Lonchura striata: one gene and its partners. The protein of the gene in region 4 interacts with the protein of the main gene of each other region in a pairwise test. Links are inferred from orthologs where the notes say so. Each region holds a gene or a part of one and is shown on either strand. Other genes may lie near its edges. The genes, in order: ATPAF2, CCNG1, PSMF1 and PAK5.

The links.
Region 1: the proteins of PAK5 (region 4) and ATPAF2 interact in binary tests that used the Homo sapiens proteins (3 or more experiments, as listed by UniProt). The two-hybrid records come from large-scale screens. The link is inferred for Lonchura striata from reciprocal best matches to the Homo sapiens genes PAK5 and ATPAF2.
Region 2: the proteins of PAK5 (region 4) and CCNG1 interact in binary tests that used the Homo sapiens proteins (3 or more experiments, as listed by UniProt). The two-hybrid records come from large-scale screens. The link is inferred for Lonchura striata from reciprocal best matches to the Homo sapiens genes PAK5 and CCNG1.
Region 3: the proteins of PAK5 (region 4) and PSMF1 interact in binary tests that used the Homo sapiens proteins (3 or more experiments, as listed by UniProt). The two-hybrid records come from large-scale screens. The link is inferred for Lonchura striata from reciprocal best matches to the Homo sapiens genes PAK5 and PSMF1.

Annotation. Positions count from the first base shown.
Region 1 is NC_134618.1:15,651,596-15,658,605, reverse strand, and holds the start of ATPAF2 (ATP synthase mitochondrial F1 complex assembly factor 2), read left to right. Parts: upstream 1-4,001; 5' UTR 4,002-4,094; coding exon 4,095-4,224; intron 4,225-5,402; coding exon 5,403-5,447; intron 5,448-5,778; coding exon 5,779-5,924; intron 5,925-6,344; coding exon 6,345-6,442; intron 6,443-7,010. Other genes in the region: GID4 (glucose-induced degradation protein 4 homolog), read right to left, coding at 827-928, 1,565-1,672, 2,379-2,438, 3,535-3,747. UniProt on the Homo sapiens protein: Plays a role in the assembly of the F1 component of the mitochondrial ATP synthase (ATPase).
Region 2 is NC_134617.1:12,010,550-12,017,814, forward strand, and holds the start of CCNG1 (cyclin-G1), read left to right. Parts: upstream 1-4,264; 5' UTR 4,265-4,463; intron 4,464-5,024; coding exon 5,025-5,288; intron 5,289-6,304; coding exon 6,305-6,558; intron 6,559-7,150; coding exon 7,151-7,229; intron 7,230-7,265. UniProt on the Homo sapiens protein: May play a role in growth regulation. Is associated with G2/M phase arrest in response to DNA damage. May be an intermediate by which p53 mediates its role as an inhibitor of cellular proliferation.
Region 3 is NC_134619.1:7,399,599-7,406,840, reverse strand, and holds the start of PSMF1 (proteasome inhibitor PI31 subunit), read left to right. Parts: upstream 1-4,228; 5' UTR 4,229-4,263; coding exon 4,264-4,392; intron 4,393-5,438; coding exon 5,439-5,591; intron 5,592-6,118; coding exon 6,119-6,201; intron 6,202-6,795; coding exon 6,796-6,972; intron 6,973-7,242. UniProt on the Homo sapiens protein: Plays an important role in control of proteasome function. Inhibits the hydrolysis of protein and peptide substrates by the 20S proteasome. Also inhibits the activation of the proteasome by the proteasome regulatory proteins PA700 and PA28.
Region 4 is NC_134605.1:23,652,403-23,660,125, forward strand, and holds the start of PAK5 (serine/threonine-protein kinase PAK 5), read left to right. Parts: upstream 1-4,712; 5' UTR 4,713-5,886; coding exon 5,887-6,094; intron 6,095-7,723.

The DNA of each region.
Region 1 (7,010 bases), on a different chromosome or scaffold from region 4:
CTGCAGGGACCTCACAGGGAAGCAGAAAACTGAGAACAGAATGAGTTTTGAGAGTGCAAGAGATCAGTTTCAACACCTGTCCCCTGCAAGCCAGAAGCCCATTGCAAAACTCGGAGTCAGAGCCTGAGAATGAAGAGAAGGCTCCAGGGAGTTCTCACTGCAGCTTTTCAACACCTATGGGAGCTTATGGGAGAACTGGAGGGAAACTTTCCAGCCAAGGACATGGAGTGACAGGAAGAGAGGGAAAGGCTACCCACTGCCAGAGGGCAGGGTTAGATGGGATATTGGAAAAGACATTTTTCCCTGTGAAGGTGGGGAGGCCCTGGCACACAGTACCCAGAAAAACTGTGGGTACCCCATGATCCCTGGAACTGTCCAAGGAAAGGACTTGGAGCAACCTGGGATAATGGGATGTGTCCCTGCCATAGGCAGGAGGATGGAACAAGATGAGCTTTAAGGTTCCTTCCAACCCAAAGCAGTCTATGGTGACTCTGTGATGATCTCAGCTGAAGAATGGAGCTGCAGACTGGCCAGAACATCAAACACAGGCCCCACACAGGGACTGGAGGCATCAATTCTCTCATCCTCTGCAGGATCACCAAGCAAGATTTTCCTGTTGTGTTTTTAGCCATGACTGCAGTCCTTAAGGACACAATTAGCTGGCTAGACAAGAGTCATACTGGAACTTGCAAGTACAGTGGGTTTTGGGGTTGGCAGGGTGAGATCTTCTATTAAACCATCATAGCTGGAAAAGCTCTGAGACATCTCAAGTTTCTGTCAGTGCCTTGCAAGCAGCTCAGCAGAGAAGGAGACAGGCAGGGTTTACCTTCCATCTCATGAAGACATAGTCCCCATTTTTTAGATCTTCATAATCAAAGTCATCAGAGTTAAATGTTTTTGCATACTGGTAAAAAGCTTGGAACTTTCCCTGAAACAAAACAAACAACAACAAAAAAACAGCTCAGGATGTTTATTCCAGGAATAGAACTTCTAGTACCAGCTGCTGTTTAGGAGGGAAATCTACTGACACTCACAGCAATATCCAGCCTGGCTGAAGAAGCTCCTGTACTTCCAGAGGAGGATATTTTGACAGAAATACAACAAACATCAAAGCTTGGCAAACAACAGCCAAGGTCAAGGGCGGGGGGGTGATCAGGTGGGCTGCTGTGGCCTCACAACACAGCAACAGGTACACCCTGCCCTGAGCAGGGACACAGGTACCAACTACTCTGCCTGTGCTTGTGGGATCCCTTTCCCCTTTTCCATTCCATTTTGTAATAAATCTCCAAAACTAATTACTGTGTTCTCTTAGGGGATCAAGAGACAGGGATTGCTCCTGCTTCCTCCCAACCCCGAGGCAAACAAGTAGAAAACAAAACATCCCTTCCCTCATCACAGATCACAGTTTGCTGAAGAGACCTTTATAAATAAAGATCCCAGGGGAAAAGGAAGGAGACAGCAAAAAGGTCTCCAGGCCTTTCTGCCAGCTCTTGCATGGGCACACACTGCCCCTCTCCCCCAGACCAGCAGCCCAGAGCCACCCTGTGCCCCCAGATTTATTTACCCAGTGTTTACGATCCACGTCTTCGTCGGCATCCCACTTGCGCGTTAGGAACGGGTGTTTCTTACTGATTATCTCGCCCTCGAAGAACGTGGTGAGGGTTGGGTACTCCTGGCAGAGGGGAGACAAAGGTGGGGTCACAATAGTCACCTACAGGCACAAACTCAAGAGCAGACAAAGCTCCATGCACTCAGCAAAAAGCATCTCGCAGGGAGATTGGGCCATCTGAGGCTGCTGCTCCCATCCCTCATCCTGCCCCACACCTCTCCAAGCTGACTCTTCCACGCTCTTATTCCAGCCTTTCTCTGCCTCTCTCTTCATTTTATGAAGCCAGGAGCCACATCAGAGCTGGGCTGCAGGGAAGGATTTGGAACATAAGCAGCTGAGGGGGCTGCGAGGTGGGGGTCATGCTCTGCTCCCAGGGAACAAGGGACAGGACAAGAAGAAATGTCCTTAAATTGCACTAAGGGAGGTTTAGATTGGATATTAAAAACAATTTAAAAGAGTGGTTAAACATTGGAACAGGCTGCCCAGGGAAGTGGTGGACCTGGCTGGGTCCTGGGTCAGTGGTTGGACTCAATGATTTCAGAGGGCTTTTCCAACTGTAAATGATTCCATGGAGCTCCCAGCTGGATGATCACCTGTGGCATTTACAGCCAGCACCACTCCCCAGCTGATCCCCTTTGATCAAATCTACACCATGCTCACACCCTCCGCTTCCTATTTCTGGCAGCAGCTTCTCTCACTCCACCAGGAAAAAAAAAAAAAAAAGCCTTCACAGAGCCCCTTTTTGTGCTGTTTTGCAGTTAACACTCACCTCTGTAAGGCCTTTAATCTTCAAGTATCCACAGAGATAGGAGTTTTCCATATCCACATGCTGGAAAAGAGTGCAAAGTCCAACCATAAAAATAGGCATGAAGGTGCATGCTTGACCCAAAGCAGTTTCTAACCCTTCCAAAGATAATTTCAGCTCCAGCTGGTACCCACTGCCCAATATTCACAGCCCTTTTCCATGATGGGAACCACCTGGAAAGATCATTTGCAGGTGCCCAGCTCACCTCTGGCAGCCTCCACATCCCAGGCCTGCTCCCAAGAACTCTGCAGCAGGAAGCAAATCCCCTTTCCAGCAGGAAGGGATCTGATTCACAGTATTCTCCAAGAAAAAGCATCCCTGGAAGAATCACCCACACCCCCGGCATTTTACAAGCCTTTCTCCTAAATTTAAAGCTTTTATGCCACCTGCATTTTGAGTTATCAGGCTGCATCTCTCTGCCTGTGCTGTGCAGAAATTAGGCAAGGATTTGCCTGCTCCTTTAAAAGCAGGGATTTTCCAAGGGGTTTTTTCTTTTCTCTGAGATCTAGAGTGAGTTATTCAGGGAAGTACAAACCTCCACCCGTGAGAAGATGGATCTTCTCCACCTGTGATCAAAGGACAGCAACGTTTCCCCGTGCTCAGCACAGGGAGAGCAGGCAGCCCCCTTCTCTTCAGCTGACACATGCAAATCAGCCACGTTTTCGACAAAAAAAGCAGCGTTTTTAAACACAAAACCACAACCAGCCCCTGCGAGGTGGCAGCGTGCAGCAGGGCACAAATCCCACCAGAAACGTGGAGAAATGACCATAAAAAGCTTAGAATCATCACAGAACCACTGAGGTCGGAAAAGAGCTGAGCTCATCCCGTGACTGATTCACCAGCACTAAGTGCCACGTCCAGTCTTTCCTCCAACACCTCCAGGGATGGTGATTCCACCACATCATTAAGTAGGATATTCTGATGTTTAGAGTGATATTTTCTGCGACAAATTCCTTCTAATATAGAGGGGTAGGGTGATGCGGGTGCTGTCACAAGGGGCTGGCAGGGTGGGAATGGCCACCGCGACCTGAGGCGAGCCGGGGTTCCCCCGTCTCGCCTCAGGCCGCGGTGGCCATTCCCACCCTGCCAAAACCAGGCTCGCCACGCCGTTCCCCCTCACCTGCATGACGACCTCCACCTCGTAAGCGTTGCCTTTGCTGCGCTGCTGCCCGCGGAACTTGGCCCCGCTGTAAAGAAGCGAAGTGGCCACTCCAGGCTGCGCCGTGTTGATGGGGGGTGGCGGTACTAAGCTGCTGGCGGCCGCTCCGGTAGCAGGGGAGGAGGATGAACCTCCCGCCCCTCCACTGCGGTGCCTCTCGCTCCGAACCGGCATCTCGGGAGGGTCCCCGGGCGCCAGCGTGGCCGGGGCCGGGGTTGCGGCCGGGGGGACGCCGCCCGCTCCGCTCCGCTCCCTCACGCCGCCGCCGCCGCCGGGTCGGGGCCTCCTGGCAGCGCCTCGGCGCGCGTGCCTGAGGGGCGTCCCTTAGCTCTGATTGGCTGCTGGCAACGACGCTCGGGCGTTGATTGGTTGCGGTGCCACCCGGCGCTGCTGGGAAATGTAGTTTCTTTTTAAATGGAGGCGGCGCGGATTGGTTGCGGCCGGCGGCAAGATGGCGGCGCCCAGGGAGCGGCGCTGAGCGCGGTGCGGACGGGGTGGTCGTGGTGGTGTCGTCTGGCGCGATGTGGCGCGGCTGTCGCCGGCTGTGGTGGGCTCGTTCCCAGCCCGCTCGGCTCCCCAGAACTCCTCCTGCAGATGCTGGGAGCGGCCCGGTGGGGTCATGTGGGCGCCGGGCCTATGCCCCGCCGACAGGTGAGGGAGCCGCGTTTGGGGAGGGGGATCCTCCCCCGGGGACCCTCATGCCGGGGTCACCCAGGGCAGGGCGGGGATTAGCACGGCCCCGGTGCTGGAGTTGTCCCCGGCGCCCTTTCCCTGGTGTTAGCCTGTCCTTGGAGCGGGCAGGGTTCGCTGGCAGCACGGCCGAGCCCTCGCTGAACCAGTTTGTTACACTTGTTTTTGTGTTTTGTTGGGTTTTAGGGATTTTGAGGGAATGGGACTCAGACCAGGGGGTTCAGGTATGTTCTGGCTCACGTATCCCATCACGTGGGTTTAAAAACAATAAAATTAATCTCATTTTGTCGGAGGTGAGGCTGCAGCGTCGCGGTGACTCATGACAAAGTTTTGGGAGTCACTGATGAGCCTCGGGGCTCCTCTGGGGTACACACACTTTAATCTGTTTTTAGAACTGTGCCTGAGGCCCCAAAGCTCACAGGTCGCCGAGCCTGAGCAAATCCTTCTATTTCCTCAGTGGGAATGTGCTGGTTTTAGCCTGGAATAGCAGACCCGCGGCCTGGCCTGTTTGCTGTGTCCTTCACCAGACAGGTTTATGGGTTTGGGATTTACAGCCTGCTTGCTGTTGTCAGGGGAATGGCTCGTGGATTCTTCCTGCCTTGTGGGAGGGGTGTGAGCCTTTGGGATGGGTGTAATCCTGCTCTCACGGCGGTAGGAGTGCTGGTAGCAAAGGATGCTGCTCCTAAAATGAGACCTGAAGTTTCCTCAGGCTCATCTTGTTGGTGGAACAGGTATATTCCTGAGCTGGACTGAGATGTTTGGGCTGCAGTGTCCTTTGAGGGTTAATTTATCCAGTGTAACTGTAATTGTAGAATCTGGAAAGGTTGACCCTGAAGCAGAACTGAGGAGAGGTGGGACAGGCCTGCTTGGGAAACCAGCCCTGCCACACTCTGAGGCAGCTGAGCCCCCAGCCTGGCAGGATTGGAGCTGGTTCTCGTTGCTCCTGGTGCCTCCCTGCTGAGGGGAGCTCACTGCAGCTCACAGCTTGGAAACTGTGGAAGAAGGGCTGGATTTTTGTTACCACGTCGACAGCAGCAAAGCTCTGTCTGTTCTGAGCTGTGATGGGGAGCAGGGGAAGGCATTGAACATTCTCTGTTTGCCCTCTGAATGTTCTCTTTGCCTTCTGTTTCTGTCCCTAGAGAGGAAGAGGTTCTACCAGAACGTGAGCATCTCGCAGGGGGAAGGTGAGTATGGCCGATGGGATGGGATGGGGGAGCTGATCCCTAGGAGAGGTGTCATCACCCCACCCCACATCAGCACCTGCAGCCCAAGCTGTGTCAGTGGCAGGTTTGTCACCAGCTGCTGTGCCCCCTCCTCATCTACAGCAAAGCTGCATGGTGGGAACCAGCTTCCAGGACCAAGTGTATCCAAGTGATGGTGGGAAACCTGAGTGTTCCTGGTCTCTTGCTCCTCTCAGCTCTATAACTTTGAATCTGCTCCTCCTGTGGGGTTGTCTGTTGTTCCTTAGTGCCTGCTCCTCTTTGATTCCCCAGGATTTCTACTCTGATTCCCCAGGAGGCTTTGAAATAAACCTGGACCACCGAAAGCTGAAAACGCCCCAGGCCAAACTCTTCACTGTCCCCAGCGAGGCCTTGGCCATTGCAGTGGCAACAGAGTGGGATTCCCAGAAAGACACCATCAAGTTCTACACAATGCACCTGGTGAGCATGGCAGGGTGGAGTGCTGAGACCTCCAAATGCAGAATGTGGAGGCAGCAGGTTGTCCTGCTCCTAATGAGCAGAAAGGACTTTCTCTGGGCTGGCCAGGTGCCTGTCTAGAGGGAATCTGTGTCACTTAGGGGAACTTGAGAAGGGGCTGGACAGTGTTATTTGGAATAGTTAGGGGCAGGAGGAAACTGAGCTCTGGAGCAATCCTTGGCCCCTCTTCCCTGCTGCTTAATAAGCTGCTTCCAGGGATTCTGAAAGATTTGAGAAGACACTTATTACATTAGCCATTTTGTAACCCTGCACCCCTCAGATCATTTGCCACAGATCCCTCTGCTTCTTCTTGGCATTGTACCATGGAAGTTGCTGCTTTTTCAAGCCTGGAATAACAGCAGTTTCAACTGCTTTTATCCCCAGACCACTCTGTGCAACACGGCGCTGGACAATCCCACGCAGCGAAACAAAACGCAGCTGATCCGAGCAGCTGTGAAGTTCCTGGAGACAGACACAGTCTGGTAACGAGATGGGGACCCAGCTGGATTTTGGAAAGAGGGTTGGGTAAAGTGAGGGAAGACATCTGCACTCACCCAGTCATGGCATGGCTCTGTGCTGGTTTTTGCCTGAGGGTTTGAATGTGCAAACCTGGTTGCAGTCTGTGCACCCAAAGAAGGAGAATTGGATTTGGTCCTCTGTTGAACTCCGTTTTGGACACCTCCCTGCTGGGCAAGGGTGAGATCAGTGGGAAATGAAGATCTTGGAGAAAAGAAAACACCTTTGAAAGGCTTGTGGGGCTCTGTCAGCCAGTCCCTGGTATTCCTGTGCCAGTACAGATAGCTGAGACTACTTGTAGCAGTCCCAAAATGCCCTTCATTCCTTAAAGTCCCCATGAGCTGTAGCATCAAGCCTGTTCATGCCCAGGCTCCTCCACTGGCAGCTGCACAGTTCCTGTGGAGAGAGGAACAGGCTTCCCCCACCTGCCCCTGTGGCTTTGGTCAGACTGGGTGAGCAGGGAATGCTGAGCTGAGCCACTGGGCAAGGAGAAGCAGGAGTGGCCCCACAGAGAGTTGCAGTGGGGTTTGTACC
Region 2 (7,265 bases), on a different chromosome or scaffold from region 4:
AAAAAAAAAAAAAGAACATTTCCTTTGCAATATATAATTTTGAATTTTAATTTAGATAACTCAGACTATTTACTGGCAACATAAATATCCATATTCATGACATCTGATTTGCTATAATCTTTATTTCTGATGTGCTGCATCTGTGAATACTTGAAGCACTTGAGTTTGCATTCATGGGCAATTATATGGGAATGTCATCCAATAGCAACAGATTGATTTACAGTTTAGACTTCATAGCATCAAAAGACAATTCATTTTCCCTCAGATGAGCTGTGGCATGAGACCTGGGATTGATGCTTCCACTCTCATTTTTTTAACAAATTACTTTTTCTTGTCTAATAGACTGTCAAATCAAGGGCATTATAATGAGGGTCAAACCAGTGCCTTTTAGATGCATTCTCTCAGTGCATCTCACTACTTTGCAAAGGTCAGAGGAAGAAAGGGAAATGGACAGCAAGTAGAAACTTAAATTTCATCCAAGTGTTTTGGAGGGGAAAGAGGCACAGGTATGGTATTTGGTCATTTCACCTTCACACCCCAGGACTCCCTCATTCTGACTTCCACTGAGCCGTCCAGAAATCCAAGCTCTTGTTATGAAAAACACATTTTTCTTAAAATTCTCTGCATCTCTAACTTCTAGTCTTGCCTGTCGGAAGTTATTCTGAAGTAGAAAGGTTCTTTCAATAAAACAAATTTTAGTTAATTTCACAGGTGATAGGAAGAATCAAACAAACCCACAATAAATCTGTGGCAAGTACAATAGGAGAAAGTAGTATGAATATCATGTTTAATGGATATATTGAGTAAATAAAGTGATAAAGCTCATGGATGCATCAAACAGTCCCTCTCTTACAGTTCTTCAAAGGAAAGAGCACAACAGCAGAGGCTTCCCAGAGACCTGCTCTCTCATCATCCCCTCCTTAGGTGACAACAGAAAAATGAGTATTGGTAAGGACAGCCATTAACACAGGGAGGATGAGCCAAGTGCTTTTAACATTGCCTAATTCAAAGCAGCTCAGACGTTCCTTTGGTGGCTTCTCATTCTTGTGAAAACACACACAATGTCCTTACCATCTTTTTTTTAACAGATAAAACCCCACACATATGAACATCTTTTACTGAACAAAAATACCTTATAGCTGATCTTCATTAGCAACGTTTCTCCAAGGCATACAGAGATAATGAAAACAACTGCAGTTTCCCATAGTTATAAAACAAACACCTGGGAGCAAATCCAGCACACTGCTCATTTCAGGCAGAGGGGACCAGAATTTATTCACACCAGTCACAGTTGTCCCACCACTTAAAGTGCAACTCAACCTTCCTCTGTTTCAAAGGGAGGCATAAAGCACTTGAGAAACCAAACTTAGGGCAAGTGAAAAACAAACATGCTCAAAAGCAGAGTATGTAGAGACAAAAATCCAACTTTCAGGCTACACAGGATGACTTGGCTTGTGCACTTAGGTGTGACCATCAATAGTGCTAGCAAAAGGTGGTGCCAAAAATGCTTGCTAAAAGTGAAATAAATCACTCAACCTTTCTTTCAGGAAGATTTTCCAACATCAAATAAGCTGACAGACTTTACTGAAAAAAAAAAGTATTCTTCTCAGGATAATTATCACCTAGGCTTTATTGCAAACTCAGTCTACCTAAGATAATTTCTAAAAAACCATAAAATCCACTTGGATTTGAACTCTTTCTTGCCCTCTTGAGATGCAGAGCACCTCTTCCCATCAGCAAGATGTGTATATGTTCAAAATCTGCATCGGTACTGATAAAACCAGTTTAGAGCTATATATCACTTCATGTATTAGTGACATATACCAATATGTATTTTCTTTGAAGAGGGAAAATAATCAAATACAGCTAAGAGGTCTGCCTTACTAAAAACCTTGCTTTTCAGAAAAGGTTAGTTCATTCCTCAGGAGAATTTTCAGCCTTTCAAGCAATTGACAGTAACTTTCACAAAGCATCTTGAAAATTTTAGGCTGAAGTAGAAATAACACTTCAACACTTTTAAGAAAAAACTAAAGTACCTTGAACCCATTTGAAATACCATCATAATGGTTTGCAAAATGGATTCTTCAGCCATTGTTCAGTATTTTTAAGGAACTGGTAATCACTTTGGATAAAGTAGCACATAATGGAACACATTGAATAAATAAATGTCTTGGGCATCAAGCATGCCCAAACCAAAAGCGCTTTACAGTACGCAGTTCTCTTTACTTGCCTAGAGTCAGTTCAGGAGTGGAGCATTTACAGCTCCTGGAAGAGTTCTCACTGCTGGTTTGAGTGTTGGATGTGTCACAGAAGGATTTTCTCTGGACTCCCGGGCTATGTGTGGATGAAAAGATTTCTGTTGCACATCCTGGCTAGAATAAAGCAATGCCCTGATTCTCTAACACTAGAGAATCACCAAGTGTTGTTGGAGGGTTTTTGTTTTTCCCGCAGGTGACAATCTCACCTTCTATGAATATGTTATTTGGGCTGGAAAGCATTAAAGACATGAACCCTTTAATGTCTTGTACTGCAGAGGTTTCAGTCATGCAGGAGGTGAGAGCAGTAGAGGACCTAACCCCACCAGCCTTCAGCCCTGGGGGACAGCATCTGCCCTGGCCTGGAAAGCCAGCCAGGAGCCACCCCAGGGCTTGGGAGCCATTTATGCTTTAAGAGCCATTTGTACTGATGCCTTATCAAGACTGACAAAGCCTAGAACAGAGGCTAGACAAAGTTAAAGAATAAAGTAGGGATTTATTAAAAGGCCTCAATGGATCCACCTTGAGTAGCACAAGAGCCCAGCCACGGCTACACTCATGATGAACCCAAATGGTCACAAAAAAATGGACAACTGGTCATGACGTCTCTCATTTTATAAGTACTGGTCCATTTCCATATTGGAGCTAATTGTCCAATTATAGCTTTAGGTTATGAAGTCCCATCCTTCTTGTTTTTATCTCTTCAGTTCACGTTGTTGTCCATGCTCTTGGGCCTGAGATCTGGGTGGCCATCACTGGTCCCAAGCTAGCGAAGGAATTGTCTACCTACTCCCATGAAAAAAACTTACCAACACTTAATATGAAGCTCAGAACTGCACACTCAAGAAGCACAAAACCTGAAAAACACAAAAGTTAAAACCTAAGGCACTGATACCAGGGCTGGGTGCATGCTTGGGGAGCTCCCATTGACCCAACGAGTGAGACCATCACAGCGGCCTGGTCCGGGCCGGTCTGGGCCAGTCCCTCAGTGGCCGGGCCAGTCCCTCATTGCCGGGCCGGTCCCTCATTGTCCGGCCGGTCCCTCATTGCCCGGCCGGTCCCTCATTGCCCGGCCGGTCCCTCATTGCCCGGCCGGTCTCTCAATGCCCATCCGGTCCCTCATTGCCCGGCCGGTCTCTCAATGCCCATCCGGTCCCTCATTGCCCGGCCGGTCCCTCATTGCCCGGCCGGTCCCCCGTTGCCCGGCCGGTCTCTCATTGCCCGGCCGGTCCCCCATTGCCCGGCCGGTCTCTCATTGCCCGGCCGGTCCCCCATTGCCCGGCCGGTCCCTCGGTGCCCGGCCGGTCCCCCGTTGCCCGGCCGGTCCCTCGGTGCCCGGCCGGTCCCTCGTTGCCCGGCCGGTCCCTCATTGCCCGGCCGGTCCCTCGTTGCCCGGCCGGTCCCTCAATGCCCATCCGGTCTCTCATCGCCCGGCCGGTCCCCCATTGCCCGGCCGGTCCCCCATTGCCCGGCCGGTCCCTCGTTGCCCGGCCGGTCCCTCATTGCCCGGCCGGTCTCTCAATGCCCATCCGGTCCCTCATTGCCCGGCCGGTCCCTCGTTGCCGGGCCGGTCCCTCATTGCCCATCCGGTCCCTCGTTGCCCGGCCGGTCTCTCATTGCCCGGCCGGTCCCTCATTGCCCGGCCGGTCTCTCGGTGCCCGGCCGGTCCCCCATCGCCCGGCCGGTCCCTCGGTGCCCGGCCGGTCCCTCATCGCATTGCCCGGCCGGTCCCTCATTGCCCGGCCGGTCTCTCATTGCCCGGCCGGTCCCTCATTGCCCGGCCGGTCTCTCGGTGCCCGGCCGGTCCCTCATTGCCCGGCCGGTCCCTCATTGCCCGGCCGGTCCCTCAGTGCCCGGCCGGTCCCCCGCTGCCCGGCCGGTCCCTCGGTGCCGGGGCCGCCGCTCCGGCCGGGGGGCTCGGGGAGCGCGCGCGCGCGCCCGCCGCAGGCGGGGCCGGCTGGGGGGGCGGGGCCCGGCGCGGCGGGGCCGCCAGAGGGCGCCACTGCGCGGGCGGGGCGGCGGCTCGGGGTGCGCGGCTGTGCCCGGCAGTGACCGCCCGGCCCCGCCGCGGACACTGCGGGCACCCCGGACACTGCGGGCACTGCGGGCACTGCGGGCACTCCGGACACTGCGGGCACTCCGGGCCCGCTCCGGCCCCTCCGGCCCGCCCAGCCCCTCCCGGGCAGGGAGCGGGGTCGCACAGACAAGGTAAGGGCGCGCGGCCGGCTCCCGTCCCGCCGGCTGCGCGTTTGGCGTCCCCGTGCCGTGTCCGTCCCGTCCCTTCCGTGGGGTGAGCGTTGTCCCTCTGTCCGTCCATCCCCCGGCGGAGCGCGCAGGTCGCTCGTCCTCCGGCAGAGCCCCGCGGCAGCGAGGGGCAGGCCCGGGCATGTCCCGGGAGGCGCCGCCCGCCGCGGGGCCGCGGTGCCCCGGGGGTGCCCCGGGGATGCCCTGGGTGCCCCGGGGGTGCCCTGGGTGCCCCGGGGATGCCCCGGGGGTGCCCTGGGTGCCCCGGGGGTGCCCTGGACGCCCCGGGGGTGCCCCGGGGATGCCCTGGTTGCCCCGGGGGTGCCCTGGGTGCCCCGGGGATGCCCTGGGTGCCGTGGGGGTGCCCTGGGTGCCCCGGGGATGCCCTGGACGCCCCGGGGATGCCCTGGGTGCCCCGGGCGCTCCGTGCCTGTGCCCGGCTGCCGCGTCCTGGCCGCACAGTCTGGGAGCTTGGGTGGCTTTGCCGCGTTCTGGTTGTCTGGCTGACGCTGTTTCTCGCGGCAGATGATCGATACCCTGGCGAGCGGCGCGGCTCGGGACCCGGCGCTGGAGCTGCCCGCGATGCTGGAGCAGGAGCTGCGGGCTCAGCCCCGCGCCGCCGGCCTCCGGCTGCTCGAGGCTGCCCACGACAATGGCCTGCGAATGACCGCACGGCTGCGGGACTTCGAGGTGAAAGATCTCCTCAGCTTAACTCAGTTCTTTGGCTTCCACACTGAGACCTTCTCGCTAGCTGTGAATTTCTTAGATAGGTTTTTGTCGAAAATGAAGGTAAGGCATTTTAAAGTATACGCTCAGCCTAGTTCCTAGTCGAAGCTAGAATGTCTTGGGTTTAGATAAAGGTTAAGTTGCTTCCAGACATTCTTGATTGTGCGGAGCTAAAAAATTGTGTTCTCCGTTCAATTTTTGATATTGTTAAGAAAGGTGTTTTCTGTAGAGAAGGAGAAACTAAAGGATGTCGATGGGATGGGAAACAGGAGGTGTTAATAGCTTAGACCAAGAAAGATTGCCTCTCCTGTTGCATAGATACAAAAACATGTTAAATTACTTCTCATTTAACTGCCTTTTCAACCCTATCAGTCAGCATTGTGTATATCAAAATGCTGTTGAAAACTTAAAATCTGGTCAAACATTAGCGCTGCATTCTCCCGTGCGGATGTGACATGCTGACCTGAGTTGTTTTAAGTTGTCTTAACAAGACAGGATTACCGCTGTACAGTTTGGACAAGAACAAAAGCTTGTTTTCCTTGTGTGTGCAAACAAAAATGGGAAAGCTAGATGGAATGGATGGGAAAATGATGATTTAAAAGACTTGTGAATCCAGATGAAGCAGAAAAAATCAGGACTACATTGTCTATGGAATAAAATAAGACCATTTATATATACATGTATGTGTGTGTATATATACTTACAATAGAGTTAGAAACCCCCAATTTTTTACTATCACCCCTAATATCTACAACACTTTAAGTCCTAAAAGCTTCATATTAGGCTATTTTAGAACCTTATTAACAAGTCAATTCTGCCTCAATCAAAATTGCTCTGCAGTCTTGCTTTTTAGATGAATGAGATGCAATTTATGGTATGTAACTGTTTTTCCATTTGCTTAAACAAAGATAATAATGTACAATAAAAGACTAAGTTTTCAATCTCCAAAAAACAAAACAACCCCTCATCCCCCATAATTATTTGATGAAATAGATTGGTGCTTACAGTTAGATACTTGCATGTTGTAATAGCTGATCAGAGGCTTTCTTCTTTGAAAATAACAATTCACTTTTCTTTAGGTACAGCCTAAACACTTGGGCTGCGTTGGACTCAGCTGCTTCTACTTGGCTGTGAAGGCATCAGAAGAAGAGAGAAACGTGCCCTTAGCCACTGACTTAATTCGAATAAGCCAGTATAGGTTCACTGTTTCTGATATGATGAGAATGGAGAAAATCATATTGGAGAAATTGTGTTGGAAAGTCAAAGCTGTAACCACCTTCCAGTTTCTACAGCTCTATCATTCATTCATTCATGAGAATTTAAGCTGTGAAAGGTACAATAGCTGATCCTGATTTTGCTATAACTGCCTAAGACCAGAAAATACAGAATGTAGAAAAGTAAGCAGAGAAATTTCTTGGGTAATTAGCCTTTCTATACTTTAAAAGTCCCACAAACTTTCTCCCCTACTGGTAATAGTCATAAATGTGAGCATCTGTGATTTTATATTATTGAAATTTTAAATATTGCTTGCCTAAATGGAATATTGCTTCTCTGAGTTGAAAACCAAACTTGCTCAATAATGATGGTATAATAAATCTCTGCTTATGCTGTAGTGAAGTATTGCCTCATTGTAAAGATTGCAAAATCTGGTTTAGAAAAGATTCCTTTTGCTAGTAAGGACTGAAACTCCTTGTTAAGCCTGCTTTGGTAATGCAACTCTTCCCCAGTGTAACACAAGATTTATTTTTGGCATTGGGACTGCCAAGACTGAACACCTGTTTGAATGTAACCCCAGAAGTTCTGGGGCAAATGAAGACTTTGTTTAGATAATGAACATTCTTGCTACTTCTCTTGAGTTTCCCAGAGTGATGCTCCCTTGATCAACCTTTCATTCCTCTAGATTAACTCATCTGTTTTTATTACAGGAGAAAATACCTTAATTTTGAGAGACTTGAGACCCAGCTTAAGGCCTGTCACTGCAGAATCATGTTTTCTAAAGCCAAGGTAAACATCTTAAAAATTCAAAGAAAATTAAACAGC
Region 3 (7,242 bases), on a different chromosome or scaffold from region 4:
ACGTCTCTCCATACTCGGAGCAGGGAGCAGCGCTGCATCCCGGCTTTGCTGCTGGGGCTCAGGCAGTGAGCAGAGGCCAAGCCCGTGTGGGCAGTGCAGACAGGCAGCCCGTGGGCAGGGCGCTGCCCGTCTGGGGCTGGGACACCCCGGCAGCCAGCTTGGGACACCCCGGCAGCCAGCTGCTCCTGCTTTGATGTGGGGTCCCTCAGGCTCCGCACAATGCAGACTGGGGCAGGATGAAGCAAGGGTGATTGATTGTCTTGTTTTGTTCCTCCAAGGCTGTCCTGGACAGCTTGGATTCACAGCTGAGATCCCCCAAGAGCAGGGGCTGGCAGTGTCCACCCAGGCTGCAGGGATGGGGTTGGTGGGGTGCAGGCTCTGGCTGGAGGCAGTGGACTGGTCGTCTGAACCCTCTGTGCCTCAGTTTCCCCATCATCACTGCCCTCTTGGAAGCTCTTTGTGTCTCTGGATGAAATACATTCCCTGAGACTGTCCTCCATTACTTTCAGGTGTGCTGGGCATCCCAGGAATTCAGGTTGACAACGGGACCAGAGGAGTCCCACCAAAAGTAAAGCTCATTAGGATTTGAGCATGTTGACCTTCGAAAAATGGAGTTTAGCTCCATCCAGTTGATGAGTCACGACTCTGTTTGTGCGATGCACTCCCTGCAAGCAAGGTTTCCACCGCAGAACTAACAGGCTTTTCTGGAAAGCACAGGGGTTCTGGGTTTCCTAATTATTTTCAAACCCTACTGGCAGCCTCTCTCTGACAGGGATCACGCCTGCTCAAAGCGCAGCACTCAGGCATGTTTAGAGTCCTGAAGCACTAACTGACTTTAGCTCGGCCTCGCTGCTGAGCGCCGGCTCTCGCAGCCCCAGTCCCTCCTCCTGCCCGAGTCTGCCTGCATGTGGTTTGCATTTCTTCCCCAGAGAAAAAACCCCTTTCTCCTGCCTCAGTGTCATCTTTCCCTGGAATTGAATTTAGAAGAAATGAAGGGGAGGCCGAATTTTCATCGAGTGACTACCTCCTTTCAAGGCAATGATGGCAGTGAGGGGAAAAGTCCATTCCAGGAACCCCTGCCCCGGTCCACAGCCCTTGGCACTGGTGATTTTAGTCACAATCAGGTGGTTCCTTGTGAGCCAATAAGCCCTGAGGCACTGAGCAGATTGTGGAGGAGCTACTCCAATGCTGCTGGCTTCTCCTGCTATGCAGCAGGGGATCCCATCTTTCCTTCCTACTGTGTGATAGGAAACTGCTGCCTGCATGGAGCAGGACAGAGATTCTGGTAGAAAACATGGCAGTGCCATCCATCACCTCACCCTGCTCACCCTGGGTGATGGGGGGCTTTCCCATCCATGGGAGGGAAGCAGAAGCCTGCAATACCTGAACATCAGCCTGGGATTATCCACAGCCCCTCTCTGCCTTCTCCTGTGAGACTCTGGGTCATACCCAGCATGCATAACACAGCACAGCACAGCACAGGGGTGAGCCAGCTGCCCTGGCCGTGCTGGCAGCCATTCCCAGCACAGAGGGCTCATGGGCTGCCAGCGGGGTGGGTGGTTGGGAAATCTGTTTCCTCTTCTGCTCGTTACAACACCACAGTGGGCGCATGCAATGGGAGCAGTGAGGCAGTGGGAAAGTATGAAGGTCAGGGGAGATTGCGGTTCGTGTGATGGAAGTGACCCCGGCTGATGTAGCCTTGTACCTGCTCCAAACACCGCCGTCCGGCTGGGATAGCTCCAGCTACTGCCTCCCCTGGGACATCACCCCTAGCCATGCTCTGTCAGGGAGCAGATCCCCACAGATCATGTTCCTGGGTGAAAGAGGGAGGAAAATGGCCAAGGGTGGCTTACTTGGTGCAAGAGCTGGGTGTGAATTGGCATGAACATGTGCGAGGTATCAGGGCACTGGCTGCTCTGAGAGTTTTGCTCAGTTCTCACAGCATCGCTCCTGCTCCCAGCTAGGCTCCAGCAGTCCCTAAAAGGACATGGCTGCTCTGATGATGGCACCAGCGTGCCCGGCAGCCACCCTGACGCACTCGCCTTGTGCCGGCTCTGCAATCCTCATCACCTCCTGAGTGACTTGGCTGTTGATTCCAGCCAGGCCGGGCTCTCCGTACCTCCCACACAGTTCACAGGCCCCTAACTCACATTAGGGGGCTGCTTTCATGTGGCCAGTGGTTTTCATCATCATTAAGCCATGGAGTGAATGAAGCACGGGAGCAGAGGAAGGAGACAACAGGGAGTCAGGCAATGTGGGCCAGCTTGGCACCGTGGGTGCTGGAATAACGACTTTGATGTAGTGGCAGTCAGCCCTGGGGCCATGGGCTCAGGTATGGTAGGGCCCTGGCTCCCAGGAGGGTCCTGAGGTGAGGGGATGCATGGAAGCATCCTGCTTTCCTCACTGCTGTGCCCATGGAGAGGCTGATCAGGCCAAGGGAGACTTAGCACCAAAAGTCACTTTCCAAGAATGGTCCGGGGCAGCTGACACAACACAGTGTGGGAAAATAAATCAAGGATGGACATGGAGGTGAGGCCACAGGAGGACAAGCTGAGGGCTGGATGGGAGCAGGTAGTGAGGGGTGAGAGGGTGGGGAACGGATGGTGGGTAAACAGGGATGGCAGAAATTTGGATGGGAAATGGAAAGCTCAGCAAGCACGCAGCAGAGCTTTGGTGTGATCCTGCTAAGACACTGACAGCTTCTGAGGCCACCAATCCTAAATACCCTTTTGATCCTGCACCTGCAGGAACCTTGGCAACAGCTCTACAGGAGCATAGGGTGAGTCCAATAGCAGCAGTGAGATACAGGATTCCAGATCGTTTCTGGAGGGAGATCTGTGATTTCAAACTCTGCCTCAGAACTGGGCATTTAAATGGAGCCACTGGTAGCTCCTGGCCCACCCAGGGCCAGGCTGGGAAAGTGAAATGTGGATGTCATCAAAGCCTGAAACCGCGGCTGCTGCCCAGGAGTGAGCTGATCCATGGAGTGGAAATGCTGCTGCTGCTCTGAATCACATCTGAGTGATGGAGAAGCTCTGGCTGAGGCATTTCCTGCTGTTCCCAGCTCATCCCCATCCGATGCCTCTCTCATGGAGCTCCTGTGCTGCAATCCCGGCCCTGTGGAAAATCCACAGCAGCTTTCCTGATGAGTCCAGCTGTCTTCCCTGAAGAAAGGAGGGCCAAAGTATGGCAGGAGGTGTGGTATCTCCTGGTAGTGATTCCCATGGGACCTGCCGGGCTGTGGTCGGTTGTTCAGCCTCAGTGACTTCTTGAAGGGGAAATGGAAAGAGAGAGCAGTGCAAGTTAATTAATTGACGCATAATGAAGTCAAGATGAGCATCCCCCAAGGAGCTGAAGCTCAGATTAGGAAAGCAGCAGATGATGGTGTTTGCTGGCTTTGTCCCGAGCCCCAGCCTCCTGCCAGCCATGCTGAGGACACTGGCTCTGGCCCAGGGGCAAGGCAAAAAAAGCCCCTGAATGCCTTTTAATGGCAACTTTAATAGAATTTAGGTGTTATAAGCATTGTGGCCCAGACAAGGAGTTATGGAAGGGATGAAATAAACCCATCAATGGCTGTTTGGTGCTTTGATCCCTTTGGTGTCAGCATGACAGCTTGCTATGGCAGAACAAGCAGACCCTGCATGGACTGGACTCAAATGCTTTTCTGACGACAAGAAAGAGCCAGGAGCAGGGAAGGAGGCTCAGAGTGATTAACCAGGACGGTGCTGGATGGTGCTGGGCAGACACCCTTCACAGGATCACGGAATCCTTTAGGTTGGAAAACCCCGCTTAGATCGAGTCCAACTATTGCCCCAGCACAACCAAGACCACCACTAACCCTTCTGGCGAATAAATTTTCCCTAATATGCAAAGTAAACCTCTGCTGGTACAACGCGGGGCCGTTTCCACTTGTGTCCCTGAGCACGATAAGAGCCTGACCCCCAATGGCTGCACCCTCCTGTCAGGGCGCTGTGAGGGTGAGAAGGTCCCCCTGAGCCTCCTTTCCTCCACGCTGAGTCCCCTCAGCTCCCTCAGCCTCTCTGGTGCTCAACCCCTTCCCGAGCTCCATTCCTTTCTCTGGACATGCTCCAGCCCCTCAACGTCCTTCTTGTCCGGGGTGGCTCTGAACCGACCGCAGGCCTCGCAGCGCCGTACAGCGCAGAACGCCAAGGCCGCTCCGCGCGGCGCGGGCCCGGCGCGGCGGACGGGAGCCCTCTAGCGAGGGGCGGTGCGGGCCCGGCTCCGCCCCGGCCCGGAGCAGCCATGGCCGGCCTGGAGCCGCTCTACGCCTGGGCAAGGCCCGCCATCTCCCGTCCGCAGGACGCTCTGGTCTGCGGCATCCACTGGGAGCTGATTCGGCAAGGCTACCGCTGCCTGGGTACCGGAGACCAGGTACGGGCCGAGCCGCGCTGCGCCGCCGCGGAGGCCTGGTAGGCCGCGGTGAAGCCTCGGTCTTTCCTAGCGCCGCTCGCCGGCGCCGTGCGACCGCTGCCTGGGCATGGGGAGCCGGGCGGCGCCGGCGGTGGTGGAGGCACCCGGGCCGGCGCGGTGGCCTCAGGGCCTCAGTACTGCTGTGGAAGTCAGAGCGGGCGGCTGCGGGGCTCGGGGTATCCCGGTGCTGTAGGGGGGTCTCGCTTTTGGGAAAATGGGGGTGCTGAGAACATCCCGGTACTGGGGGCACCGAGGGTCCTGATGTTGCGGGGTGGTCGGGGGGATGTCGCAGGATAGGAGATCCTGATGCTGGTGCGATCAGTATAACTCCGGGAAGAGAGTTATTATAGTGCTAAGTGGAGCATGGTGGTGAAGCAGAACTCTGTAAGAAAAGGGAGGTGTCCAGTTCAGTGCTGAGGAGGAAATGTACTGGGGCAATACCAGAGGTGGGGCAGTCTACTTGTGGACCCAGTGTTAAGACGGGGGTCTAGTGAATTTGGATCCTGATGAGTGTCGGGAGAATGCCTGATGTGGTGTTGGGGGGTAATGGGGGGTGCAGGGCACTGTCACAGCAGAGGACTCTCCTCAGTACCACAGGAGGTGACTGTGTAGGGCACAACCCCCCAGAAGCAGTGTTGTGGGGCTGGGACAAACATGATGACAGCCTTCCCCCGTGCCCCAGACAGTTCTTTATCATGCTGAGGAAGTGCAAGGTGTGTGACAGGGAAGAGCATTGTCTCCTATGTGGGTGTTTGTGACCGCTTCCTGCTTGTTGTGTCCTCCTCTTCCAGCGCAGGGATGCTGTGGGAGGCTGGCAAGCAGGCAGGGCCAGTCTCTAGGAAATACCTGCTTGTACTGTCAAAACCTGGAAGGCATTTAGGGATCCCCTCCCAAAAACCTCAATTCCCTCCTGGATCTCCCTGTGCAGCCAAGACAAGACCCCCAGCCCTAGGAGGTCATGCTGGGCTCCTGGGCAGGGTCTCGGCAGCCTGTCTGTTCCATTGCAGCCAGGTCCTGATGAGAGGAAGTCAGAGCTGTTGCCTGCTGGCTGGGAAGCCAACAAGGAGGTGTACACACTGCGCTACAAGTCCATGGATGATGCCCATGAGCTGCTGCTGAAGGCCATCATGGTGGAGGACAGTATGATCCTCAATGTCATGGTGAGCACCCAGTGGTCCCTGTGGATGTGGGGTCCTTTGGCTGAAAAGAACATCGGGGCAATTTCTTAAATTCTTTTGCTTGTTGTGCCTGGAAGTGGTGTTTGTCCCTCAGGATAGGGCAGACCCAGGGGGTGTTTTTGGGTTAGATGTGGCCCAGCATGAAGCTGGTCAAACCCTGGCTGTGTCAGGGCAGTGGGACAATTGTCCTTGAACAGTCCAGTGCAGGAGATTCCCTGTTTCTGTCCCTTTCCCAGCTCAGGACTTCTCTGCAGCCTCCAACAAGCAGCTGCTCCAAGTAGTTTTGCTCAGTGTTCCACCCTTTGCAGCCTGAGCTGGGGAGAGGGAGCAGGGAAAATCTTGTACAGTGAGGTTTGTTCTTGGGGATTCAGGCATGGCACAGGGACATGGTGGGAAGCAGGTGAGCCCTGTTCCTTGTATCCCAAGACTGGGGCTGTTTTTGTAGCTTCTCTGTCCCTCATTCCCAGATCTACCAGGCTGCTCACTCTGCTTTATGTGCATTTTTCCAGGATCGCAGCTCTCAGAAGGTCGCAGATGTGACCTTGGCAGTGGCCGACTACATCAACCCAGAGCACCTGGACGATTTCCACAAGTAATTTCAATTTCCTGGTATTTTCTGCAAGAGCAGAATTCTACTGGCATGGAGAGGGAGGTAGAAATCCCCCCTGGGGGAGCTGGAGGATTTACTCCTCAGTTCAAAACCAGGCCAGTCCTGAAATGCAGCCAGAACTCTGTTCCCTGCCTTTCTCTGCACTGGCACGGGAGATATAGAGGACAATGGGATCGTGGGTGTGACCCAAGAGGAGAGACACCCCACCTGGGATCAGGCCAGGCCAGCACAATTATTTCCAGAGCACTGTGCTGGGTGGACACTGCCCAGGAATGTGACAGCTTCAGCCACATCCACAGTGTCATGTGCTTTCCTCCAGTGCAGGCCGGTTGGGTTGGAGCAGAAGGGAGTGGCTGGGTGGCACCTTGCCCATCTGAAATGGGGTAAAGGCTTTGGTGCACTTGTGTGCTGTTACCCCTTCCTGTCCCCTCTGTGCTGCCAGTGGGGGACTTGTTTTGTGCTAGGGACACTTTGGGCTTGTCTGTCCCCTCCCTGAGCCTGTTGCAGCCTGTCCAGCACCCCATGTCCTGGTGCCATGACCACCCCACCCCACTGCCTTCCCTCTCCTTGCTGCAGGGTGTACAAGAACACCGAGGAGCTGAGGACAAGAATCACTTCAGGCATCATTGCTCCCCTCGGGGCCCCTGCAGGAAAGGCCAGAAAGGAGCCTGAGTCCAAAGAGGATGTGCCCTGGGATGAGAACCCGCTCCGGCTCCCTCCCCGGCAGCCGATGGGAACAAGGGCCCCATCCAGGTGAGGAAAGTGTGTGGCTGCTGAGAGCCTCCTGTTAGAGGGGATGTGGTCCTGGCACAGATCCCCAAACTACACATCAGGTCCCCATCTTGCACATGTGGGATGGGGAGTGAAAAGGATCCAGACCTTCCCCAGCTGGATCAGCCTGGACATTTGAGTTTGATTTGGTTGTTGGAGAGGGATGGGCTGTTCTGGAGCTGTGTGTTGGACTGACAGGCCCAGTAGGGAACAGGCAGGGGCTGGGGCTGGGAGGTGAGGTGTGGGGCGAAG
Region 4 (7,723 bases):
ACAAACCTCTGTCTCCACGTTGCTATTTATGTGTGCATGTGTATGAGATAATAGAGAGTGACTGACTACAATATATGCATTTAAGCTACTCAGCTGAAAATTACTGAGCATTAAAATCCCCTGGGAATCACAAGACTTCTAAATTAGGAAAGCACGTCAGTCAGTGTGTGGAAATGAGTCTCGTACAAGAGTAGCTTTCAATAAGAAGAATGAGTATTGTTCCTTGGAGTACATCAATCCCAGTTTGGCCACTCTGTACCAGCTTTTACTATTTCTCTGGAAGCATACAGGGGCTTTTGTTATTATTTTTCCTGTCTTTTGTTCCGTTGTGCATTTCTATTAGATATGTCTCATGGGCCAGCTATCAAGAGACACACTGCTGTGCTGTGCCAAATGAAGGCATTTTTAACCATAAACAAGGTATTGTGGGTTGAAAAGAACTGTGGACAATGACAAGTCCTGGACTCTTTGTAATTGTTTAAATGGTTTTTTATTATATTGAGCAGTGACACAGAAACTCTGAGAAACTGGCTGATTTGACCTGAGGTTGAAATGAGCAGAATGCTGCAGGGTAGATGAGGGGCTTTGGGAAAGAGGCATTTTTCTTGGTCTAGGCCATCAGTACATCTCTTTCCATGATTAAGGCATGTATTTTAATAGTGGTTATATTACTTAGAAGTCTGACCCATCTCAAAAAAATACCAGACACCTTGAAAATCCAGATAACTAGTTGAATCCTATTGATCATCAAGCTTTTAATTCTGAAACTTACACAGGCATGCACTGGAAATTATACTTCTATACTTTCACTGAACTGAAAGAATAGTCTGGAAAAACTATGTGGTCACAGGTGATTAATTTCTGTCAGTACATTATTTGTGTGCAGAAGATCTTACCAGAATGGTAAAAGACTCAAAATAGGAGCTGACTTTGTTTGTTCAGGATTTGTAGGTCCTTTTTGTTGCTGCCAGAGGGTCAGTGTTTAAAATCATCATTAGTAGAGTATGTGAGAACATTTTCTAAGGTGTTATTTTATTGTTCCCAAATTGAAATGCTCAAATCATAATGAGGAGCAGAGGGATGAATAGGGATCATGGGACATGGGGTCCCTCATTAGACAGGTGAGCCAACCTAGCATTCGCCTGCACATTGTCTATTCCCATGGCAAAACAAAACAAAACAAAAAAAAAAAAAAAAAAAAAAACAAACCCTTGTAATGAGCTCTCCCTCTAGCTAACAGCAGTAACTTAATAAATAAATACAAGACATGACCACAGGACTCACCTGCCCCTGGTTTGAGGTGCTCCCTGCTTCTTGGGTTCTTCCCATTTTTTTCCATCTTTTTTCCATCCATCCAGAATGACACTATGGGAGTTAGGAAAGCATTTAGGAACACTGTATGTGGAAAGTCAAACAGGATTTCTCCTTTTGTCAGTAGTGAGTCAAACCTGACCTGAAACCAGTGTGGTTTTTAAGAGTCTTTCCATGAACTTTATTGTCTTCTTATTCAGTTCACTCTGCTTTTCCAGGTGTAGCTTCTGGTTTTATCTCCTGAAAAATAAGGTAGTGCCCTCTGTATCTTCAGTTTAAAATAGAGATAAATTCTTCTTAAAACTTAAGCCTGCAGTCAGGGGCATGCTTCAGGTTTTTTTGCAAAAGAAGCTCATGCTCTGATTGCAGCCAGCAGCAGAGGGTCCCTGCCGAGAAGCTCAGAACAATCCTTAAACAGAAAGAAAACACAAAACTGTTGCTGTTCCTTAGTAAAGAAAAAAAAAAACAAAAAATTTTCTAATTTTTAATAGTTTTATTAAGTATAGTAAATATATTAAATGTATATTAGGTGTATAGCTGCACAGATATGTGTTGGTCTCCTTCCACTTGTCTCAGGAAGGAGCAGGAGCTCTCACTGATGTGAGCCAAAGAACCATCATCATTTTCACCTCTCCCATCCAGAGGATCTCTTCAGAGATTTGTGCTGCCATCAGTCCATTGCAGACATTGGCTTTCTCCTGGAGATTGAGTTTCAGCCCAGCTCACATTTGTCTGGAGCGCTGGCTCTGCAGGCTGCCTTGACACACTAATTTAATTTGTGCTTCTCAATTCATACTCTCTCATTTAGGATCAAGTATGAGGAAAGGTTACAATTAATCAGAGCAGGGGAACAGAGCCACCAAAGCTAATGATGTATTTCTGCATTTGGGCTGCTCTGGAGGGGAACAATTGAGGTCCTTGTGGTACAGAAAACTATTATTAGTAAGTAAAAAGTATCAAAAGAAAGCAACCTGCACCCATCTCCCAGTTTTGCAATCTGTGTCTCTGTCAGGTTTCTTAAAAAATAAGCATTTTATTAATGCTCCTGCCTGGAACTGGGTTTTTTGGCTGTGTGGCTCATTTGGGAGAAAATATGCCTTTTCACAGGACCTTTTCACAGCCCTTGCTGCTGCCCCCCGTTTGGGCTCACAGATGATACTCAGCATTCATTAAGGCAATTTTTATATGCTAATAACATGCCCATCCACAAGGAAAAAGAGCTCTGATGCTGCTTGCTTAGCTGAGGAACCATAGGGAATCCCTGCAGAAAATACAGATAATACTTCCTAATAGAAGATGAACTAATTGCTGGTTGTTTAAAAGCAAACATGTTGCTGGGCTGGGGCAGACGGTGAACACAGAGCCCCTCCTGAGGGAATATTTTCAGCCCAGCCTGTGCTGGAGCAGCAGTGAGGTGTGTGTAGGAAATCCTTGCAGGCTTGCCAGGGTGGCTCAGGGTCATGGTGAGCACACAGGATTTTCTGGGGTTAGTAGGACACTTTATCTGGCTCCCAAAATACCACAGTAAAAAATAAAGCTTAAATAGCTATAGCACAGAGTAATTAAAAGTTCCATTTTAAAGTAAAAATTCCCATCTCACTTCATTATTCTAGGTACTGACTTTGTACGGTTACTGTGCGTTTTTATGTGTGGCAGAATTTCAAAGACCTTTACTCGGTTATCTGGGGCCATTTGGGATGGCAAGGGCTGTTGTCACTGCTTAAGGGATGCACTTGGAAGACTGGTAGTTTTCAAGATTACAAGATGTGAAAGTTCTTTCCAACTTTTGTAGTCTTTTTTAAAAGAGCAGCTATTTGGAGGAGGAACAAAAATTTGCTCTGACTTTTTTATTGGGAACAGAAAACAGGGCAGAGTTAAAGAGTTCTCTCTTATTTTGTAGATTAACTGAATTACTCTTAGGATATGATAAAAGATACAAAATACCATTAACCTTAGAATGAAGTAATCCTTTTTTTTCATTTTATTCCTACTGTCTTTGATCTAACTTGCTGTAAATGTGAAAATTTGTTCTTTGAGGGCAGTAACATTCTGGAAAGTCTGGACTTTCAACTTTCAGTTCATCAGTCTTGGAGTGTCCTCTGATGTCACATACAGGAGAGGGACAACTCCTGGAAAAACCCCAGGATGGGACCAAACTTCTAAGAGTGAACAGACCTGTGACCTCTGTGTGAGCTGGCAGGGCTTTAACCTTTTGTGGGAAAGCTCCTGCTGGAAATCCTGTCCTGAGCACAGCCTACCATGGGAAAGTCTGAATGGGCACCCAGAACAGTACTGCCACCCTCTTGCTCCAGTGTGTGGGAGTGGAGGATGCTTCTTGCTGGAAAAACCCCTTCATCTGGAACTGGGAGGCAGCACAATGAGAGTGCAGTAGCTGACTGAGTGGATTTATTTCTAATTTGCTGGGTACATCACACACCTTGCATGGGCATCATCTCAGGAAATTTCCTCTGTGGGCATCTGGTCTGTCTGTGAAAGACATGGGTGAAATTTGGACCTGCCTAGGAGCCCATGGCACTGTGATGTCAGTGAACTATTTCTGTGCACAGAAAGGAGTGCTGTGCAAAGGAGCCAAGTCTGCCATAGACCTAGCAGGCAGGGTGTGCTGATTATCATGTAAGTTGATTTGTTAGGCACCACAGTAAACAGCATTAAGGGCAAAAGCAGTGATTGCTCCTGAGTGTTACCTGGTGCCTGCAGCAGCCAGTGGAGATGTGTTACTCAGCTGTTACTCAGCCTCAGCAGGCACCAGCAGAGCTCTAGCACTGCTCCTTTCCTGGGCAGAAATAAAGATTAAGACAAAACTGAAATTGTAGAAGGGTTTGGGTAACAATATTCATAGCACAATTCCCATATTTCTTCTGTTGTCCCTGTTCCTTTCCCATTCCCTGTGATACATCTGGGACCAGCCTTGCTGTGGGTTACTCAGGAGAGGTACTGAGTACCTCATTAGGTGCTGCAGTAGTCTGATTTTCCCCCCAGTACTGCATTTTCCTCTAGTAAGTGTTATGTCCCTATTTTTCCATCATGGCTTTGGTTCAGAAACTCTGTTATCTGTAACACTTGTGCCACGGCTAGGCTGTGGGTTGAGGAGCCCTTGGCATGGCTGCCTGGAGCTGAACAGGCTCAGCTTCTGGCTCTCCCATTACAGAGCAGACTTGCTTTAGGTGTTGCGCTGTCCTTCTTACTGAGTTCATTGTTTGCTTTCACTGGAGGGCTGCCTCCTCCAGACCTCACATTTACAAGCACAAAATTCACGTGCTGCATCATTTCAGCATAAGAGCAAGTAAAGAATCTGTAGAAATGCCCCAGTGAAGCACTGCAGTGGTGAGTCCTGTTTTCCCCACAAAACCAAGCCCAGTGCCATGAGTAGTAGCTCCCCCAGCCCCCTTGTGTCAAGTGTCACCTTGTGCCATGTGCCACTGGAATCATCCAGACTATCCCTTGGCAAGGCACGTGCAAGGAGAGGACAGACATCCTGGTTGTGCTCATCCCACCAAAATAGCATCAGATTACAAGTACAATACCTCTCATTTCCTCTCCTTCTGTGGGGGTGAGCACAGGAGGATCTGGACAGAGAGGTGGCATTTGCTGAGAGCCCTGGCACAGTCAGGGCCACGTTGGAAGCTGTCAGGAAGAATTAAGTAAAGGGTGAGTGCTCTGGCGTGGGGATGGCTCAAAGGCAGCTCTGCAGAGCTGTCCTGCAGCCTTCCTCCTCCCTGTGCCTCTGATAAAGGCTGCCCTGTTGTCTGGGGGATGTTTTCCCAAATAATCCCATTAGGAAATTAGGGGTTCTTAATAACTGTGAGAGGATTGCTGTTTCCTGTGAATGGGTAGGTGCCTGAATGAATTTCATACATTTTTGTGCTCTTGATACAAATTTCATAAGTTTTCTGCTACACAAACATTATCCAGCATCCTGGAAAGCTCCATCAGTCCTCTTCAAAGCACTTGGGTTATTCCTAAAATGGCTTTAGATATCTTGAAGAACATGTAGTCATTTACCAGGGATGTTTTCTGCTTCCTCGCCTGATTAAACCAGTCCTTTCTTTTTTGTGTCATATTAATAGAGCTGTGGGAAAAACTGAATCATCACTCCATTTTTGAGGTATGAGGACCAAGCACATCAGTGGGGACTGAATCAGGACACTTAGAAGCCCAGAGCATAAGGTTTCACAAACTTGGCTGCCCCAAACCCTCATCCTCAGACAGATGAGGAAAACAGGCAGCATCATTTCCATTCTTTGGGAGAAATGAGGGGAAATGAAGCTTCCTTGTGACTGCTGTGTATGCCATAGCTTTTTGGAGGGACTATGCTGAGGGGAGGTTGGCTTGGACTTGCAGTGAAATGGAGGTAACTTGGTGGCTGGTACTTTGTTGAATGAATGTGCTGTTCATTTTAAAAAGTGGTGTGCACTGTGCCAACTGATGGGCTCTTAGTTACCTGATGTTGTTTGGAGCTCGGGAGGACTTCAAGCATCCAGCAGCTGCCTTGGAATGCAAGTCGTGTGGGAAACCCTGGCATTGATCAGAGGAAAATATTAATGTCTAGAGCTGATGGTTTCAAATGTTACTCCAATAGTCTCATGGATTCCTGTCCCTGAGGCGAATGAAATCAATGCAGTGCCATTGATCTGCAGCTGGATGCCACTGGTGGAACCACTGCCTGACTTGGGACTGCCTCTGTTTGAGCCTGGAACATGGAGAATCTCTGAACAGAGAGCAGCCACCATGGCTTTGGAAGCATGTCTGCAAGTGCCACAAGGTACCCAACAGACCAAAGCAAAATAAAACAATTATGATGCCAGGAAAGGAAAAAATACACATATCAAAGTGATTGTATTGTAGGAGGTTTTTGGAGAGGAAGGGGAGGAAGATACGCAAATTAACAGAGCTGGAGAGAAACTGTCAAAAGAGCAGGAGATTTTGGGAAGTTCAGAGTACGGTAGAAAGCCAGAGAGGTGTGTAGAACATGAGACCTGTGAAGAGAGGCCAACAGGAGCAAGTCTGTTCTGTCTAAAAGAAATACCCACAAAAAAGACAATCACCTACAAATACACGGGGTGGGACTTGATTCAAATAATGGACTTGATCTTTAGATAAACTAGTAAAAGGTAGTGAGGGTGGAATAAATGCCTCATTTATCACCATATCTTTCCTTAGCTGCAGCAGCAGCACAACTGTGTTTTCTTCTCTGAGCTTCTCCTCTGCACCTCCCAAATTAAAGTCAGGAGCAGACTTTAATTAGAGAAGCACTTCTACAGCTGTGATAGAAGAGCACTGGCAGCCTCCTCACCCTGCTGCTATTTCAGATCCTGCTCAAGTGCTTAGCTAGCCTGCTTGAAATGGCCCAGAGAGCAGGGTGGAGGAGTATTGTGAAACGGCAGAAAGTAGGCAGAGAATGTTTCCAGGACAGGACAGGATGTCACTGAAAAGCAGCAGGACCTCTGCCTGTTTCCCTGGGACCAGGAGTTTATCTTTGCCTTGCACAGCAGATTTCTGGAGTCCTCCAGAAAGTCAGTTCTGAACTTGCTTCAATAGAATTGTTAGGCTGCACTTCATTTTAAGGTGGGACCCACCAACCCAAATATTAATGCAGGTAGAGTATTGGCTATTTCCTTTGCCAGTAGAATGAGCAAGTACCTTTATCCCTCTCAGTTTGTAGCTTGTGCCTCCTTCCAATGAAACTTCTCTTGCCCCAGCTAATCTATTATCCTAGGTTCCCTTGTGTGCTCTGAAAACCTCCTGCTGCCTCCTCAGGAACTAAACAGACAGGAGGAAAGCAAATCAACTCAGTCTTATCAGGAAATAACAATCAAAATTTACTAAAAAGTTCACTTTCTGCAGAGCAGGGACTGTAGCAATTAGCTTTAGCACGCCAACCCAGGTGGATCCAGTGACAGAGAAGCTGGGAAGGTCACATTTCCTCCAGCTCCTTGCTTCTATAGGATTGGAAGGACTCCTGTCTCTTCTCCACACCACCTGCACAGGAACTAGAAGAGCTGATGCTCCTTCCTGGACCTTCAAAGGCATAGGGCTATGATGTGATGAATCCTGCCCAAGCCTGCTGGCCAGCAGCCAGGGACCTCTGCCCATCTGGGCCTGAACCCAGGTGCTTTGGGCATGTGGCTCTCACGGCAAATCCTTTCTCTCCTCAAGAAGTCAGGCCATGATATTTGTAATAGCTGATACCTGATGCTTTTTTTAAGCAGGACCCTTCACAAATGCAGAGGAAGGCCCTTGGCCCAGGTTGGAATTAGATCTGAGCTCTCTGTTTTCATTGCTGAAATGGCACAGGAATAATTCCCCTTGGAGTGCTGCTGTGAGAGACCTAGACCTGACATGGCAGAGCCAGGCTTTTGTCTGGGATGGGTTGTCTTTGCTGGGATGTAAA